Linked DNA regions of Drosophila melanogaster. The protein of the gene in region 2 interacts with the protein of the main gene of each other region in a pairwise test. Each region holds a gene or a part of one and is shown on either strand. Other genes may lie near its edges.

Region 1 (7,869 bases), about 13 Mb from region 2:
GGCGTGGATGTCTTGAAGACACCTCCGGATTCGGGTACTGCACTCGGCTGCTTCTCCTGGCCACTCTTCAGATTCTCGCGCGTGTGCCGCCACTTCATGCGACGGTTCTGGAACCACACCTTGACCTAATCAGGGTATAAAAATAATAATATATTGGTTTTTATAGAGCTATGAAAGGAGTCGAATGTGCAAATGTTAAACTATGAAAATCCCATCTTTTAACTAACCTGAGCGTCGGTGAGATTCAGTCGTGCCGCCAGCTTGCGGCGATCTGGCTTGGTGATGTACTTCTGCTGCTGGAACTGAATCTCCAGGCCCTTGCGCTGCAGATTCGAGAAGACGGCGCGAGACCAGGATCGCTTGCGCTTCCCATTGCTTCCGGCTGAGGCGTTGCCCTGGCCATTGCCACCTCCATGTCCATGTGCACCGTTCTGGGATGTGGCAGCGGCGGCGGCGGCGGGCGAGGTGGGCGCTATGTCCAGGAGCTGCTGCGGCGTCTTGCCCAGAAATCGCTGCTGCTGTTGCGTCAGCTGGAGGCTCGTGAGGCTGTGGAGCGGCGCCAGTAGCGCCGAGGCTGTCGTCGAGTTGTGTGGCGGGGGCTTGTGCTGCTGATGGAGGTGTTTGGGATGGTGCTGATGATGATGATGCTGCTGGTGCTGCTGCTTCTGATGTTGATGGAAGCGGAGGAGCGCATTGGTAGCCAGCGTGGGATAAGTGGGTGCGGCTGTTCGGGAATGGAATGTTAAAGTCAATTGGGAGATTCATACTTCCTTCATTAGCAATAACTCTTAATTTGTTGCTATACTGAATCCGGTGCGTTTTTTACGCACCAATTTGGATATTTATTTTTATAGGAAAACTACCATTAGTTATGGACAACATCCTCCCTTGGTAGCACATTGCATCCGCAGGAAATAATACATTTATCGCCGGCCAAAGAAATGATACTTGTTTCGCCAAAGAAAATATGAAATTCAATTTTTTGTGTTTTCTGAGTAAATTATTTTGATCAATAAAATGCATGTTGAGAATTTTTAAATGGGCTTGTTTATAATAAAATTTTCACTTAATTGGAAATTATCATTGAAGCGTTTTGTGGCTAGGGGGGGCAAACGAAATTTGTTTACTTCTAGCGCGAATCTAAACAACAACAATTACCTCTAGAGATCCAAAATTATTTGGGGTAATCGAACACGACATGGGGCACACGAGGTTGAGGTCGAACCAGGGTGCTTTACTTCCCTTAAATGTTTTTTAAATATCCAAGAATTTATACACGCAGTAAGAAACAATTCGAATGACGTTGACTTTCCTATTGTATTTCCAATCATTATTGGCATTTACTATCCTTTATCTAACTACTGAGTTTCAATCAAGATCATTACGGCATTTATCAACTCAAAGGACTCCGCTGAAAAGTATGCTACAAAAAGTTCCTTTGAATCCTCAGTTCACGATAATGTTCACTAATGTTGATATGAAATGTAATCCTGATGTTGTTAAAAGGCCACAATTTTAATTCCTATCCTTGACTTTTTCATTGAATTTTATTTGATTTCAAACTGCAAACCATTCCTCTTTGTTTGTAGCCAACGCTAAATTATCATAGGTATTTTTTATTGCCTTTTTAACGTTGTGCTATGTGGAATTCGATTTGTTTGTGTGCTCGCGGCATGCGCCTAATTGTTTTCGAGATCGAGCGTTTTATTTACTTAAGCAACACACTACTCGATCGATTGTGTGTATTTACACTGCAGCGGAAATGCGCTTCTGCACTTGTGGATACAATTGTATCTCAATCCGTGCGCTTGTGTATCTGCATCGGGAACGCCAATGGAATCTCAGCACATCTGCAGGGGCTAATAACGCCTTAATTGGCCGTTTTGGCATTTGGCTTGTGTCAACCATCGGGGGTTTGTTATAATGAGTTTTCACCGACTTTCAACACCTTGGATGTTGGCCGGGGCATTGGGGTTCACTCACAGCGCGAGATCATTAATTGCCGACTTTCCCGTTCAGATACATTTACAAAATACCGCCAGCGGACCCGTAAATATCTTAATGAGTTGTGATAATTTTTCGGATGCCATCTTAAATCACTCAAGGGTCTGGGTTGCAGATGCATCTCCAGTAGGATGTGTTTGCGAATCGTACATTTCGCAGCCATATTTAAGTTGCATCGATTTATTAGCACGATGCATTCCACATTTACGACTTGGCGAATATTGTGGCTTATTTCGCGGTAAATTGCGAATGATCTTTTGGGGTTAAGCAGAGCACTCCCAGTGGGCCATGTGCTATGGAAATTTCGACTACCAGCTCGACAAGCGGAGTATGTGTTTATTTGATTGATTTTAATATATTATACATATGTATCTACTTCCGAACATCCGAATCTCTGACTTTTACCAGCTAACTATGCACTAAGATATATTATCTGCATTATGTACTTTCAAAATATTTAAGTGAAATCAAAAGTATAGCTAATATTTCAATTGTATATTTCGTGAAATATCTTTAGCTACTTGGGATTGTCGTCAATTTTCACTCAATTCATTATAGTTAATCCTATAGTTGTGGTATCTACATACATATATCAGTCCCGTTAATTTGAGTTGAGTGCGTGGTAATTATTATTGCTACAACCCTCCCCTGCTGTTGGGAACTTGAGAAAGAGTCTTCAAAGTTCCAAAAGAAATCGTCTGAGGGCCATCATTAATCAGGGATCTTCGAACGCTTTGAAAGTGCATCTATCAGTTGGATTAACATATAAATTGCTAATTAATTAGACCCACGGCGCCGGATTATTGTTCAGACAGAATTTCCATATCAGACAATGGTCTGTAGCATCCAATCGATCGATGGATGGATCGATTGATCGGCAGCCAGAAGAGCAACAACAACAGATCAACAAACTACTCATCGCCAGGCGGGACAGGCAAACAGCAACAAATAGTCGACGGAGGAGCCGCAGAGATCTCGCTGGTCCATGATTTTATGATGTGCGATGCGATGCAATCAATCCATCACGGAATAATTCCGCAGGGGCCGGCAGGTTGGACACGGCGGGCAGCCACAGGGTAGCCTCCTCCTGAAAAGGCCACCACAGTGGGTGGTTGTGTAAATACTTGGCCTTTTGGCTCGGCCCCCAAAGAACAGCGCATAGTTTCACCCGTGCCCGTGCCCGTACCCATACCCGGTACAGTCATCCATCGGTCAGCAGTTCCCTGTCGTTGGCCTAAACGGCAGCCGAGCCTCATTGGAGTCGGTTGAGCCGCAGTAGTTGGAACCGTGGCGCCCAATCTATCAGAGATCCGCGTCTCTAGCCGGGCCAAAGATGCCTCCACCTGTCGAACTCCTCGGCCGGCGGAACAATTCATTAGAGAGCGGGCAATTAGATGGATAGCTATCTGTATCTGCCCATGAATGACGGGCCAATTGCCCAAGCAAATAAACAAACTGTTCGCCACAAACGTTTTCCACGATCCGTGTGAGCTTGAAGTTTATTTTTAAAGACTGACTCGTAATTTGTTCATAAATTGTTCTTAATTTTCCACTTTGGTCTTTGGCATCTCATCTATTTGCGGTGCCCAAAGGATTGATGAAGCCTTTCAGGTGCTGTCTGTTCTTCGTTTTTTTTTTACCGATCTTTTGTTGATTGAGCTATGTCGAATTTATTCGCCTTACTAATTGCTCCTCCCATTTTTGGCTGAGCAAATGTGTTTGAAAACCACTTAGCACTGATGATAATTTTCATTAATGTTCCATCATTGTGTGAAGTGTAATTTATTTAAGTTTGGCGCTAATTTTGCTACATAATTTAATCGTGTGCTGGAATTTGGCGGAATTTAAAGGGCTATTAGTATCGAATTTACGTTGGATGAATCAACCAAAGTCTTTTTTGAATATGTTTTAGTCGGCTGTTAAAAAATTGTATTTTGCTACTTGTAACTAGGTCTAAACTATAGTAAGCTTTAAGTTAAGCTCGCTAATACCATTTACACATCATTTTAGTATAGCTCCACATATTTGCGGGTCTCTTATTTTGAAATAAATTAATATCTCAGACATTTCCTAATCAATTTATCCATTGAGGAATCCCAAACCAAATATGTATCTCATTTATCCGCAAAAGATCTTTAAGATCGTTTAAGGCCCTCGCATTGTTAGCACCCACTTGATAAGAATTGTGTACAATATTGAATGGGAAAAGGCTGTGCTGACGATATGTATAAAACTCAAGCAGCTTGTTAAACAATGAACAATTTCTATTCGAAAAGCGAAACATTTACCGATTATGTTGCTCTCACTATTTCCATTTCCATTTCCATTTTCACATAAACAAGATCAAAGTGCGCTGGCAGCCTGCAGGCTTTATAAGAAGTCTTCGTCCCCAGATATACAAAAACAGCAGGAAGTACGGCAAATACCCAAAACAATCCGGACTATTTTGTTGTCGATTTCAAAAATCGAATTGTTTTCGTCAAGAGCCAAAGGCGCGGAACATTTGGCCGCAGGAATATTGCACAATATGGCTGCAGATCAACTAATAATTCAAATAAAAACGTGAAATTTATTGGGGCTGCGCCTTAGGTTCTCACTCTTTGTGTTTCCAGGAATGTTCATTTCCCATTTGGCTAAATTCCATTTCACGATTTTCTCTGCAAATCTCAACATGGCTAATAATTATAGTCCATAATTGAAAAACAGAGCGAAATAGCTAAGGAATTTTGATGGGCAAATGGCGAAGCCACCTCATCAACTCGTTTGATCGTTCCCTGAGATCCTGCATATTTCCATGGAAAGAATGCAGAATGATTGACAAATCGCAATATCTGATTAGCTTTGATCAGTTTTATTGGCGCTGCAAGTGCACACAACATACGGGGAGATTGAAATAGTGCAGATGATAGATCGTATCTACAAGATAGAGTCATGGGTATAAAATATTATTTTGATAAGTGGTACGTTGTTGGAACTAGAAGAGGTTCACTGCGAACGAATGATGTTTCAATAGCTTTCTGTATGGAGCTGATTCCTTTTAAGTTTAAAAGTATCTTAAAAATACACTTAGGTACCTATAATCCATGTAATACGGATCAGTACCAATATAGTTCATATTAATTTAAGGCATCCCTTACAGAGATTAAATGTTTTCCTTCTATCAACTCGGTTTGCTCATGATGTTCCAAATGCCGTGCACTTAATGGTAATTTTGAATGATTTACTTTCAAATGGACATTTTTTTTGTAAAACCTGCTCGGATTCAAAGGATGTTCCCTTTTGAGTATAGTGCATCCTTACCGTGTTCTGCTGCCCGAATTGGCGTCGGTCTGAGCACTGATTTGTAATCCATATAGGGGCCAGGGAACAGCTTATCCAGACCCACGAAGGGGTACGTGTGCGATGAAGTGGGTGTGAAAGTGGGCGGAAGCGTGGCATGTCCAAACCTACGGGATTCGGCATTCGCCTGGCTGAAGCAGTGGGGGAAGGAGCAGCAGGCTAGAATGCTGCCATCGCAGCATGACTTGGTCGAGGGCGAGGAGGAGCTCTGCCGGTGGGATTCCTCGGGTTCCGAGCCCAACAGACGATCCACACTGAAGCTCAGCTTGACTTTGGTGGTGCTCGTGGCGCTGGTTGGCGACGTACTGACTATGGTAGTCGAGGCACAGGATTCTTTGGTGGGCAGCTCATGATCGACATTCACTGGATCGGGACACTTTGCCAGCGTTGGATTCACTTCACACTCGCCGTACATGTGAGTGCTGAGGTTCTCGGGCATACTCTGTTCCATGCTGGCGGCACTCTCGTGTAGTAACATTGTCCGGATATGTGTTGTATATGGTTTCTATCTACGAATCTCGACACAGGACACTCAAAACTGATTTCACACGTTCACAATCGATAGGGACTATCTATCATGTCCAAAACACCGTCGCTGTGCACCAATAAAACGATCGCGAATTTTGGCTTAGGTCTCGTGCACCTCCGATTAAACCGCCTTGCAAGACATCCCACTCAGAACTGATCGGAACCGGCCAGGGAGCACGCTCAACCAGCCATCGATTGCCGATCGGCCAGCCAACGCGGAACAGTCTGTTGGCGGTGGGGTTAATCTCGCTGAGATTGTGTATTCCTGGTGCTGACAGTGGGGCAAGGAGTGCGAGATGATCAGGATATAATGCTAACAATAAATAATGGCTATATGTTCGATATACAGGATATACAAACCAGGATATTTTTTTATCCAACGTGTATATTGTTTATAAAGTAATACTCAAGAAGAGTAATACTATCAAGAAAGATTAGATTTTTGGGCTTCGGTTGGTGGTAACATTGGTTTCTATTCCGCTGAAGATCTATATACCTCTAGAAAGTGCCCTAAAATTATGTTAATCCACTTACCATAGACCTGATCCCACTGTAGCCACACACAGATGGGATACCTTGCCATGCCGATCGCTTGTTTACACACAAGCATGCCGCTGTGTCATTAGCTCAGTCGGAGATCGTTTCCTCGAGCGCAGCCGAGATTTGTTTACCGATTTCTCCATATGTTCCCGTACTCCCACACACAGACACACACACCCCATCCGAATTCCGGTTTCCCTGCGCAGAGGCCATGTCGAGTGGCTCGTGGTTCGTGATTTCTGGCCAATGCGATCGATCCGCAGTGGTGGGCGGAGCCACTGGTGGCGCTGATGCGGCATCTCGCTTTCGCGCCCAAGGAATGTGCCTTCCATTGGCTTGGGATTGAGCGATCTGCGCGAACTCCACCTGCTCCACGCTGTCTGGGTTCAATGAAGTGGGTAACCGGGACTGGTGGTCATAAATCAGAAACCGCATTCCACAAGCGGAAATCCGCAAAACGGAACACGAACGGATCGTCGGGGTTGGAAAACTTAAGTAGAAATGTGTAAATTGCGGAGCGAAACTGGCGTTATTAATAGGAAAATTGTCGTGACTACCTTAAGATAGCATACTTTCCGGCACAAAACTCCCATCCAAGCGGGCGGATTTGGTGCCAAAAACACCCTAGCACCACAAGCCCACAAAGTGACCCAGAAAATGTGGAATATGCAAATGCAATGGCAGCGGAAAATCCATCGCCAGTCGGTGACACTTTTATCCTCTTCAAAGTGAAGTCCGATTAATAATAAAATAATCCTTTTTACTTAAAAAAAAAGATTCAGATACATTCCAGGATATGCCGAACGTTCAAAGATACTGATTGGAAAGAGCATGGCTTAAATTCCATTAACCCATTTAAAGTGCAAATTGAGCCTTAGTGATTGTAGCCAACAACTTTTCCCGGAAAATTATAGGGCATACAACAAATGAAAGCGAAACGCAATCAAACTATGTAAACAGACACGAACGCCACTTATTCTTGAGGAATCGCTGGAAACCGCAACCAAATCGTTGCGGGGCAACTCAATTCACTTTGGCCCAGGAACAGTGCGCTGCCACCACTCGAATGGAGTCGTTCTCAGCGTCCAGGTGCTCCACCATACCGTCACCACTGCCGCACAGTGCCAGTGGCATGGACAGTCCGGATATCTGTGAGCCGCCGCAGGATGAGCAGGAGTTCTGCTTTCGCTATCCCAGCTACATGTTTCCGGACGTGGAGTACGACAAGGAGGATGTGCCGCTACCCTTCAAGGCCTCGCCGGACTCGCTCTTCAATCTCTGCGCCGCCGTCGTGGATTCCCAAGCCCGCACTGAGGTCTTCAAGTGGAGCATCAACGATGTGACCGACTGGCTGCGCAACTTTGGTTATCCCGAGTACGAGGTGGGCTAAGATTCTTACTCACTATGTTGGGTAACCTATAGCTTCGTTACAGCAAACTTTTCGGGAGAACTACATTG
Region 2 (4,967 bases):
TATCAGATACCTGCTACTCAGGTAAAATTTATTCCACACGCCTTCAACGTCACTGGCACTTTAAAATCTTGAACTTCTACTATAATATAATGACCAGCATTTTTGGTCTTCTGCAAAGAAGTCGTTACCAAGAATCTAAAGCTTTTTGTAATTTGTTGACGTAGGTTTCCGAGATCTCGACGCTTATATGGACAGACATAGTCGGATCGAATGATCAAAAATATTTATACCTTCTAGGCTTGAAGTCACTTGCACTTTTCAACGTATAACATGCTTTCCAACGAACTAATTTATTAAATTGCAATGCCAGAAATTCAACTAAACAGCAATACGTCCGCGCGTAGAAAAGATCTTAAAGGTACTGAGTGTGAGCAACATGATTAGCTCTCGGTGCTAAATTCGCCGGAGATAACCCAGATTAGATTTCGGTTATATTTTTTGAAGATAATGGCTTTATGTTGAATACCAGTCTGGTTCAAAAAAACCTTAAATGATATGCTAAAGATAAAAAGATATAAAAGTATGTACTTACTATTTGTACTTTGTTTTATTGAATCATTTTGTCTAGACTTCAACTTAAACCTTAATAACATAAAACACCGGCATGTGCAGAATTTAAGAAGTCGCCCAAATACAATAAATAATAATAATTTTTATTAAGACACTGAGAGAAAAATTAAGTTTCGATATTAAATTAGGAACGAACGATAAAAAAAAAAAAAACTTAAAAGCAAACACATAAGTTCAAGAACGAGTAACCGAAATTATAAACTTGAGAACGAACGTTCACATATAAACAAAAGTCTCACTTCAATCCTCAAGTATCGTTAAGATATATGACTTGTAGTTAAGGCACATTGTTTATATGTTATTAGCCAGAAAATTGGGCAATACAGCTTTACATATATAATTGTACACTTTCCTCGTAGAATATAAGGGTTAAAAACTATGAAACAAGAAAGTGTTTTTGACCCTACAAATGTGTATTTATTCAATTAAATCTGGGTATCTGATAGGAATTGAGTTCTTTCTTGTTAGTTCAAATTACATTATTTTTTTTATCAATGGAACTATAGTCAATCCATAATCAAATGGAAAGTTTGTCGAACCTGTAAAATCTGGAAATTGAGATTATTCATGCAGTTTTTGGTGGCGCCTTTTATTTTTATACCCTTGCAAATGGTACATTGATTTCATTCAGATTCGTATATTCAACAGTAGAGTCGATACAGTCATGTTTGTCTTCGTTCAATTTCAGTTAGTATACATATAGGTTGGACCACTATATCATATTGCTGTTATAGGGATAATCGAAAAATAATGGTAAGTATTAATATATGTATGAGATATACAACAGTTTTTGACCATATTTTAATTTGATGAAAATCAAAAGAAAATATATCATATAACTGCCGTACAGCCAAGGCAAACCAAATTTTAATTAAAGTATTTAATTATCGTTATAATTGTGTTCAATTATCCGCCGGCTAGATCGGAAACAGGAAGTTACTGTTGATGTATATTCGTTTAAGGAAATACGGTAAGAACGTTGGCAGCATGGGTTAATTTTTCAGCTTTTGCAAAAGCTCCAAAGTAAATGCAGGCTTGTGGTAACTATCATCGCATGTGAACAGCGTTGTACACACACACACTTGCACATTTACACCTGGGTATTGAAGTTATCAGCTAAAAGAGAACTGACTTCCTCCGATTGTACATATATATATATATATATATATATATGTATACAAACATATATATGTGTGTAGAGCAGATAACCACTGCATGCGGAGAAGAGCTTGGCAGGTGTTAGTGAGTTCAGGTGAAATTGATTATGCGAATGGGGGTAAAAAAAATATGGCCAAACAGTGAGGGAGCCAGTTAAAAAACGGTGGTCGATCCAGCCGGTCCGACATTTCAGTTGAGAAGCCAGAAAGAATAGAAAACCGAGAGCCATGAGAGAATACAGCCTGTGTATGATTGTGATAGCAGCTTTCATTGCCAGCCAGCTGGACAGCACCTCAGCCCTCCGTAGGTTACCACATTTTGGATGAGTTTTTTCAAATGACTTACTTCAAATTATTATTGCCATTGCAGAGTGCTATTCGTGCACATCGACGACGAATGACACTGGAAATTGTTTAACGAGTCCATCTACTCAAACTTCTATAGAGTGTGATAATGAATGCTATACTCTTATTAACGCAGGTGGGTTTGTATGACTCATGACCGACTATTTCATATTCTTAGACGGGGGTAGTGGCCCTCTTATCGATCAGTGCAACCAAAGGTGATAAGCGATTATCTCTTTTTCTTTTTGATAGCTATTGATCCTTGTTTTCTTTTCTAATTTCGTGCGGATCGAAAAAGGTTTATGATGTTGTGACTCATTTGGCAGTTACTGCACTACCTGGCTTTTTCGTGTTGTTGTCTAAGATTTAAATATTGCGTATAATTTGATTTAATAACGAAGAGAACGCTAAAGTGGAGTCACTCGACCATCAGATACCTCTTTATTCAGCTTGTGGGAGTTTAAGGTACACATTTAAACATTCTGTTGAAGTATCAGTAGAATCTGGCACGCTTTGTGGGCTTTAGAGTGGGCGTGAAAATGATCTGAATGAAATTAGCACAGCTTAGGCGCCACTAGAATCTGCAGGCTCTCAACTTATAAGGAATATATAAGTTATATTAGAAATCATTATAAGTTTATATTAGAAATCATACGAAGTTTTGCTCTGAACCATATTCCCTTGCATCTAGTTATTGATTTTCTGTATCCCAATAGGAACTCTAACTCGTGGCTGCTTGATTAATGGCACTGCGTGCACCTTACCATCCTGCTCGACCTGCAAGGAAGACAATTGCAATTTGAATTTGGTGTGCCAGCAGTGCCTCGGCGAAGCGAATTGCGCCACGACCAACGTGACGGATACGCAATACAATGCAGTGTGCCCCAATAATGGACAGGTCTGCGTGAATCAGTTGAATGACAACAAGACGGTGACCCGTCAATGTGGTGACCCCTGTGCTGCTGGAACGGAATCCACGTGCTCCTCATGCTCGGCATCCCTGTGCAATGTGGGACTATTCCCCGCCAATCGTCGCCAGTGCTATAATTGCTCAGGAGAGAACTGCAATGCGGTCTCAAATACCTTGGTCGCGGGATGTAGTCAAATCGATGCCGGGTGCTTCACCACCGGAACGTCTGCGAGCAACATGACCCGTGGTTGCACATCGGCCACCACGGAAATCAAGTGTGCGTCGGACAGCACTGATCCCAGTTGCCTCGTCTGCAACTCCGACTTTTGCAATAGTCCGACCTACGAACGAGAGGCCGGTTCCTGTATCATTTGCGAGAACTGTGCGGAGCAACAGGTTGCTACCAATGCGAAGTCCTGCGGACAGGCCAAGTACAACCAGGAAGTCGGGTGTTATACCATGACCTCAGGAACCAATGTTACCCGAGGGTGCCTAAACACCTTGGAGGCTGGCTGCTCTACAACCAATGCCTGCACTTCCTGCTCCGAAAATGGCTGCAATGTGGCTGCCGGCGAGTTCCAGTGCATTACATGCATTTCGAATGAGGTTTCCGGCTGCTGGTCGGCCAAATATCCGGACACGCTCCCTTTGATCAACTGCCCCAATGGAACGTGCTACAGCGGAGTCTGGAGTAAGTTGGTACCAAGTCTAAGCACAGCGAATCAATGCTATAGTTTTCAAAGATTTTATTTTATAATGTAAAAGGGTATTCCCAAATTGCATTATTATTATGCCAGCAAAAATCCTAACAATTGCCTTTCAACATTTTCCCCCAGATGAACTTGGAGTGCGAGGATGTTTTACCGCTGCCAGCCACCTGATGCAGTACCAGTGCAATGCCAAAGTGGAGGCCCATCAGTGCGAATTGTGTACGGAGAGCAAGTGCAACAAGGTACCCTTCAATGGAGCAGGCGCACTCAGGAATGTGGGCGTGGTCGGCCTTCTGACGGGAGTGGTGATCGCTCTACGCAGTGCCCTGTAATCCAACCACCTCCACGTAGTTGGATGATCCAATCAAATTACCGGGTGCCTGGGTCTATGAGTAATGTTAACTATTACAAAGCAACAGACAAAAAGACATAACCTAATTATAGGAGCTGAAGCATTTTAAGAACACTTCCATAATCCCAAATAAATCATTTTAATAAAACAATTACTCTTTCACAGTAGTTTAGTAATTATGTCCTTGGAAAACCCTGTTTTCATTGATGGCTAGTGGTAAAAGAGTTTTCAACCTGCTAGGCCTTATCAAATAAAGAAATAATCACAACGCCTTATCAACCGCAGTACCATTAATAATATACTTTGTACATATATGTGTGTATATTTATTGCATCAATCAAAATGAGAGTTTATATTAACAATAGTTCGAAGAAATTTGTTTGGGTGCACTAGAAGAGCCAGTTGGAAATGTCTCAGAAAGTATTTGTAGCATTCTTAGGTAACTCAAATTACATTTTCCATTACATGACGATGGTGATTTCGCCGAATTCCATAATTTTGGTTTTCAATTTGCCATTATTAAGCTGAACAGGCCTATAATATAATCATAAGTTTGCATTTTTCACTCCTAAAGAGCCAGCCGGCTAAACAGAAGATCATTAGACTTGAGTATATTATTCGCGATCCTGCATTCGTGGCCAAACCATTTTTATCTATTTCCACATAGTTGCAATCGTCTTCGAAACACCTCTCACAGAGTTCTGCATGTTTCTCGCAGTGTTCCAGTGAACTCTCGTCCATGTCGGAAATGCAGCTTCTCACCATAAAGCCATCTGGTCCTCCAGCACTGCTGTTGAAGTTGAAGTACATAGATACGCAACCGTTCAATTCGCCTAACTTTATGTGGCACATCTTTTTGCCCTTCCTAGTTCTGGTTTTCCCCTCATTGGGTGAGCAAAATTTACAACTGAGGCATCTTATAG
Region 3 (3,885 bases), on a different chromosome or scaffold from region 2:
TTGAACGTCGCGTTTATTTGTGCGTCATTGTTGCTCCTTCTGCTGTTTCAGTTAAAAGTTGTTTCAACTGGAGTTACATTTGGCAATTAGCCGCTGCATTTTCTTGCACTTTCGCTGCAGCCCCCTTTTGCATTGCAACCGGACTTCAGCCTCGTTCTGCCCATCGCACTTCAATACATATTTATTAGCCGCATTTGTTGGATTTTAGCTCAATTAAAAAGTTTTACTCGGCTACTTTTCTTCATTTCGGTTTGGGACCTGCCCTGTGACTCCAACTTCAACTTCGACTCCGAATGTGTTGTTTTGTTTGGTAGCTGTTAACTGGGAGTTAGAAACTTGGATTTGGGATCAAGGAGTTGCATGCTGGATGCTTTTGCAGCCACACTGCAGTTGCTGTCGGTGGCCTTTTTTGTCTTCTTGTTTTGCTAATTGCAATTACTTTTTGGGGTTCAGTCACTAGAAATTAAGGCATAAGCTGAATTTGAAATACTCTAGCCGTTAATCAAACTGCATAACATGAAAAATTAATAAATGTATTTAATTCAACTTAAGAACATTCCACCAAAAATATATTTATCGACTACCCTACAGTTTGTACTTTTACTTTACAAATCAAAAAACCCCTTTTGCAAGGGTATAAAACTGGCTTAAGAATTTATTCTTAAGATAGACTCATCCCAGCAGATGATTGCCGTTGGCACTCCAGCCGGGTGCCACGTAGTGGGGGCGCTGCTTGTGCACCACCGTGCGCACCACTGGCACTTTGACCGGATACGGATAATAAACTGGCGAGACCACCGGCTTCTCCACTCGGTAGGGTACCCTGCGCTCAACCACAAAGGGAATGGGCCGCTCCACGGGCACCGGCTTCACCCGTTCGATGGGAATCTTAACCTCTTGCATCTGGGGCACGGCCACCGTTTGGGCCACTGGTATTTTGATGGGCATGGGCTTGGGTATGGCTGCGATCACGGTTCGTGGCACTTGCACCTGGACGTTCTGCTTGAAGGGCACATGCTGCTTCTGATAGTGGGTGATGGGCACACTCTTAGTGATCTCGATGTGCTTGGCCAACGGCAATCCGGCTACCGCTTTACTGCTCTCCGGAGTATGGTGCACACTGGTGGTTATGGCTGGGAGATCTGCAATCTGGCTATCCTTGTGAGAGTACAACATCTGCTGGTCCTGGGCAACTCCCAGGCGCTGGTGATGCCGTTGATCCTGAGGATATTGCAGCGCATGTGGCCGCTTTTGTTGCAGATGTTGTTGCAAGTGTGGCTGTTGCAGCTGTCTGCTTTCAGGTTGCTGATAATGTCGCTGCTCCAGTGGCTGGCTTTGCTCCCGGTTTGGATGATGACTCGATAGGGACTCTTCCTGCTGACGCTTAACTGGATTGGCCGGTGTCTGGAGTTCTTTGAGCCGCGCATAGATACTAGTAATATCCTCCTGCTCCTGGTGCTGCTGCTGCTGATGTTGCTCCACCTCCTGCTCCCGCTGGCGATTCTCCCGGTAATTGGAAATTTGTTCGAAATGGTAATCGCTGGGACCGGGTAGCGATGTGGCAAACTGCACCCGCGGCCGATATGCATAGCTTTCGTAGTGCTGCTCCCCATGATGTGGCTCCACATCGTAGCCAGCGGAATTTGGCTCATAATTTGCCGTATTAATGACAAAATCGATATTGGCGGATGGGTCGCGACGCGGCTCCTCATCCGCGGTGAATGGCGAGTGCAGTTTGCTGTTGTAGTAGAAGGGCACAAAGCCATTGGCCGTGGTGCCAAGGGAGGATTGCGAATGGCGATGGTGCTGTTGATGGGTGGCGGCCAGGAGTTTGTGAGCATAATTTCCATATGTTGCCAAGTCATCGCCGGCTGCAGTGTCAGTGGGGCCATAATAATTTCGCGTATATCCTGTTAATCCCGGCAACGAGTCCACACCCGCATCCTGGTAATGGTGTTTGCTGCCATGTTCCAGCGACAGGCCGAGCGGGTACTCCGCCAGGGATAGGGGCAGTGGGGCATCTATGGCCTCCATTGTCATGGCCAAAGCGAGCCACATTAATGCATAGATCATTAATGAACTGGTGGCAGGTGACCCAAAGCCTTGGCCGGATTTTGGCCGCCCCATAACGTTGGGTGGTTGTGTGTGTCCTGAAATCCTGAACTCCTGTGTCCTATATCCTTTGTTCCAATCCGCCAACGGAGTGCGTGTTTGGATGCAGCTGGCGTGGGTGTTGCTCCGCTTTGAAATGCAAATTTGTGACATCGCGATGCTGTTTTTATAGCACACACACACTCTTCAAATGCTTGGAGCGCTCTACTTGTAATTGGATATCCTCGTTGGCACTTCAAGTTCATTGGCCAATCCACCATGGATTGTGTAAGTGGAAGCCCATGCCCAGGCACTCACTTTCACTCGGCGGCACACACCAACTGTTCCAGATAGTCCCTTTCTGGTTGTTCCTTTCAGATGCAAGTGAGGCGGCGATCCGCTGTCCGCACAATTCGCAATCACAAAATACGCAGCTATACCGCAATTGCTAGCCCGCAATGCACATCGACCTATGCACTGTGGTCTAATAGGGCTCAAAAATTAAAAAAGAAAATCTATTGTGGATGTGATAAAAATGGTAAAAATGAAGTTATTAAATTAAGTAAGTTTTGTTTTGAGTGCATAAATATTGCTTCCTTTTTAAGCTAGCATAATATTTGATAATTTTCAACATAGCTGTAACCACTGTGCACCGGTTGGCTCCCAGCCGCATCGGATTTCACACTGTGTGGCAGCTTGCGGTCAATGTCGCGGCCATTCCGATGTTTGATTGCACAAATGGTGACGTGCGCTTCATGTGCTTGCGGTCCGGTCTTTGCCAAGTGCAATCGCCGGAGATTTGAAACGCGTCTGAGATCTCGGATTGCAGCACTTTCAATTTTCATCTGGATGCATTCGACGACATTTGGTATCGTTGCTCTTGCATAATTTACCAGCCACGCCTTCACTCACTCAAAGCTGACAATGCACTTTGGGTCTAAAGTGATTCAATTTTAAAGAACCTTTGCGGGAATAGCATTCTCAGCGATTTTATAGTGCACTCAGCAAAATAGTTGATATAAGATTATAATATTTCTATATTCAGGTTTGTAGAATTGAAGATACATTTAATATGTGATACATAGATATATTATACCTTAGTTACCATTTTTGTGTTTTCTGCCATTCGTAGTTCGTTTAAAGTATTGTAGTGTTATTTTCCGATTTTAATCTTATATTTGTGATTTTCTCTGCGAGTAGTTGCCTCTGGCGGGAAATCAAGGGAAAGTCGGCGAAAAACGGAGATAGAGCGAGTTCTTTTCGTTGCTAGCCTGGCATCCTTGGATCATTCATCATTCTGCTCTGCATTTAAGTTTGCAAAGTTCACCAGGTTCGCATCGCCACCTTTCTCTATATACATATATATATATATATTTGTATATATATAGACCCACCTTAGCCACGCCCCCTTAGAGCGGCGTTAGCAGCAACGCCCACCGTCACCGCACTTTTGAAATAACAGCGCAAAGTACAAGTAAAGTGTATTTTCACATTGAATGAGGTTAAGCTTCGTTAAATTTTGCGCAGCTTCACTGTACAGTTAAACCTCCCCATCCATATCACCTGGAACGAGAGTGTGTGTGTTATACTTGTTGGATGCAATTTTTTTCGCTTCTTTTTCATTACTTCAAATGCTTTCAAGCCCTGTGAAGCATATTTTAGCAAAGTTCCCATAGAAAAGAAGCCAGCCAGCTAGCCACCCAGCTTAACATGGCCAAAATGTGTAAAGAAAAAAATCTACTAAAAAAAAAAAGAACAGAAAATAAAAAAAAGTGAGTAGAAAAAATCGACAAA
Region 4 (3,380 bases), on a different chromosome or scaffold from region 2:
ACCACTACTTAATATAATTATATTATTATTATTATTATTCTTAGCAGTCCTTCGATTTTGCCCATTGTGCGAGGTCTACGCATTGTTTTTCTAGCAGGAATGGACGATTGTCGTAGGAGGGGGGGTAATGAACCGCGTGTGAAAAGTGTCACTGGCCGTGTATGTGTGTGTGCGATGTGTGTTTGTGTGTGCGAGCGGGAGATGCCGATGCCTCAATTGCGGTTCATTTATATGGAGCACTGAGAGCAGCGGCCTGGAGCAAAAACAAAAACATTCAACGGGAGCGAGCGGAAGTGCGCAGCTCTCCCCGGCGCTCCTGCTTCCGCTTCCTGTTGGGATGTGCTGGAATTTCAGAGCACAGGACACTGAGAGAGACAGAGAGGACATGGACTCGGAACCCATGTGCTTGGGGGATGAGCGAATCCTTTTCCCGGAAAGCGTGTCATTGTGTTTCGCTCCAGAGGAGCCTGCGCGAAAATGATCCAAAGGCACAGCCATAAATCAGGAGCTCCGTTGCAACGCTACATTCCATTTGCAAATAGTAATCATTAACATTTATTTTTTAGCTAAAATAGAAAGCCTGGCTTTCCATAACTACAAATTTAGTGGGGGTCAACATATAACAACTGTGAGTATTAACTGACGCTTTTCGAATTGCGAAAGTCGAACAGTTTGGGTATGACATCGCCGCACTTGGCGGATATCTTGATATCCGCCAGGTGATCGGCGCGCGTTTCGCCAATATTAACAATGCCCACCGGTAGCTTGAGGTCCTTGGTCTGCAGGACAACGCGGTAGCCGGAGAAGACCAGGAGACTGGACCCGAGGACAAGCAGGCCATCGCTATTGTACACCATGCCGGCAATCTGATCCACTCGTGGCCGAGGCACAGAATCTCCGAAGAAGACAATTTCCGGCTTCAAGTCGCCGCCGCACTGCGTACACTCGGGTATCCGGAAGTTCTCGATGTACTCCAGCGGTATCTCTACATCGCCATCGGGCCGGATCATGTCGGGGGCATCTTTGAAGGCCGGATTTAGCGACGCCAGTATGCTCTGGAACTCGTGACGATCGATCCGGTACTCGCATGACAGGCACTTGACCACATAGCCACTGCCATGAACCTCCACAACATTTCGGCTGCCCGCCTTCGTGTGCAGCCGGTCCACGTTCTGGGTGACCACCGCCTGGACCCGCTCCTCCCGCTCGAATCTGGCCAGCGCGTGATGCGTGGCATTGGGCTGTGTGGCAGAAAACTTGGGCCAGCCCACAAAGTTCCTGGCCCAGTACCGCTTGCGCACCGCCGACGACTTGACGAACTCCATGTGCTGGACGGGCTTGTGGTTGGAGCGGGCGTAGAGGCCCACGCCTTCGGAACGGTAATCGGGAATCCCTGGAATTTATTTCAAGTTTTTAGACAGCCAGAAATGTTGATTTAAATAAAATACTAATGCGAATCCAAGTATAAGCTAGAAGTCACTTGCATTAGCATTATATAAATAAATGAATAATGTACAAGCTTTTGGAAGTCAATCTGAAATATTTGTGTTAATGGCTTCTGAACATAGAAAAGTCGGAAAATCATGAAACTCACCCGATTCCGTCGAGATGCCAGCGCCCGTGAGAACCAAAACATTCGGTTTGGACAGGAGAAAGTCCTCCAGCCGTTTGATGTCGTCCTCCACGACGGGCTTGTGATGCGGCACGTACTCCTGCCTGGCGGTGGAGCTGCGCAAGCTGGTGCTCCGGAAGCGGAGCAGCTGGCCCACACGCATTGTTTTGTTATGTATTATTGCAAGTAATATTTGGTTCTTTTTCGGTTACGTTACTAGAGGTGAGCGCACGCACATCGATGGCAACTCCTTCAGTCGCTTACCGCTGTAAATCGATTGTATGCCCCGCAATGGCAATCGATAACTGTACGACCCCCATCGATTTTTACACGCCATCAGCCGATAGCAGCTTGCCAGCAGCTACCATCTCTAGAGCAACGGCTGCAGAAAAAAGATATTCTATTCGGTAATTTACGCGTGGATTTATCACGCGCCGTGAACCCAGAAGTTACAGGCCAACCTTTCCGAGATTCGATCAGTGAACCTTGCGGGCGTCCAGCTTCGTAAGCACGAAACAGGACATTCACACACATATTTATCACTCCGTGTGGCGTTTGCGCCCATCCGTGCGTGCCTGTGTGTGTGTGTGTCGCTCGTCTGTGCGTGCGTGAGTGTGTTTGTGAATTGTCGGCTTTAATTTTGCAAGCTCGCTAAAGTTGTGTTTTCAAAGGACATCGCAAAGGAGTCGCAGCGCACAAGATGTCGTACCCGCCGCGGGCGCCCATGCCGCCCTTCATGAATACAGCCATACCGCCGCCGCACGTAAGTCCACCTTTTCTGGGTCACAATCACCATGAAGCTGTCAGAATCTGACGCCAAATCCTTTTCCACCTACTCCATCCGCTTTCAGATAATGCAGAACATGGCCAAGCCGCCGAGGAGCTTCCGTAACTCGGCCACCATTAGTTCACAGCCGACAGTATACCAACGTCCGCCGGAGCCGCAACCACAGTTCCGCGGACCCATCATTACCGTCTTCGTGGGCAACATCAGCGAACGCGTCCCGGAGGCACTGCTCAAACGCATCCTGAACGCTTGCGGCGTGGTAATCAATTGGAAACGGGTGTCCACATTCGGCTTCTGCGAATTTGAGTACGTTCAACCATAAATCGGTCATCCCAAAATCACTTTAGAAGGCTTAGGGCAGCACAAGAAGGTTTCGTTAGTTAAATAACGCTAGAAAAGTAATTGAAGAGCCATTGCATAAACAGCAGCATAACGCATCTCACTCGTTGTTTGATGCGTTTCCTAGAATAGCTTAGCTTATTTATAAAAAGATTGAAATACTTCTAGGAATGCTCCCTACTGCGACAGCTCTTCAAATTCTATATGCGCGATCGAATAACTACTCGAGCACTTTTAAGTAACCTAACTTTAAGCAATACAACACAGGGTTGAGCTTGCATACATTTATGTTTAGAGCCAACGGGCAGTCCACCCATTTGGCTCTCCAATTGTTCCTATAAATACTCTGCCTAACCGCTTTCCTTGGCATTCTTTCAGCGGACCTATTGCGGCAATGCGAGCCGTTCGCCTGCTCAGCGAGATGGAAATCGATGGCAAGAAGCTGGTAGCCAAGGTAGATGCCAAGAACAAGGTTCTCATCGAGGATTACAAGGAGCAGGAGTGCAAGAACGGCGATCGTTCCAACCCAGTGGACGAAAAGACCGAGGACGAGTTCGCCATTGCCCAGATGCACGAATTCCTGGAAGAGCACAAGCACGAGTTCGAAGGATTCGATAGCAGCAGTCGCGCCGATTTGTACGG

What was found.
Region 1: the proteins of CG10650 (region 2) and H2.0 interact in a two-hybrid assay, tested with the Drosophila melanogaster proteins (one large-scale study listed by BioGRID).
Region 3: the proteins of CG10650 (region 2) and CG13840 interact in a two-hybrid assay, tested with the Drosophila melanogaster proteins (one large-scale study listed by BioGRID).
Region 4: the proteins of CG10650 (region 2) and Sirt4 interact in a two-hybrid assay, tested with the Drosophila melanogaster proteins (one large-scale study listed by BioGRID).

The regions. Positions count from the first base shown.
Region 1 is NT_033779.5:6,013,373-6,021,241, forward strand, and holds the start of H2.0 (homeodomain protein 2.0), read right to left. Parts: upstream 6,031-7,869; 5' UTR 5,822-6,030; coding exon 5,305-5,821; intron 725-5,304; coding exon 228-724; intron 126-227; coding exon 1-125. Other genes in the region: CG13996 (uncharacterized protein), read left to right, coding at 7,478-7,792, 7,845-7,869. UniProt on the Drosophila melanogaster protein: May play a role in pattern formation during embryonic and imaginal development. Is not essential for visceral muscle morphogenesis.
Region 2 is NT_033779.5:18,992,843-18,997,809, reverse strand, and holds CG10650 (uncharacterized protein), read left to right. Parts: upstream 1-1,875; 5' UTR 1,876-1,955; coding exon 1,956-2,031; intron 2,032-2,097; coding exon 2,098-2,208; intron 2,209-2,788; coding exon 2,789-3,673; intron 3,674-3,818; coding exon 3,819-4,024; 3' UTR 4,025-4,450; downstream 4,451-4,967. Other genes in the region: CG46465 (uncharacterized protein), read right to left, coding at 4,579-4,967.
Region 3 is NT_033777.3:22,813,965-22,817,849, forward strand, and holds CG13840 (uncharacterized protein), read right to left. Parts: upstream 2,215-3,885; 5' UTR 2,074-2,214; coding exon 673-2,073; 3' UTR 519-672; downstream 1-518.
Region 4 is NC_004354.4:5,664,094-5,667,473, forward strand, and holds Sirt4 (sirtuin 4), read right to left. Parts: upstream 1,848-3,380; 5' UTR 1,776-1,847; coding exon 1,595-1,775; intron 1,535-1,594; exon of another isoform or gene 1,394-1,534; coding exon 636-1,393; 3' UTR 535-635; downstream 1-534. Other genes in the region: CG4119 (uncharacterized protein), read left to right, coding at 2,313-2,375, 2,464-2,705, 3,117-3,380. UniProt on the Drosophila melanogaster protein: NAD-dependent protein deacylase. Catalyzes the NAD-dependent hydrolysis of acyl groups from lysine residues.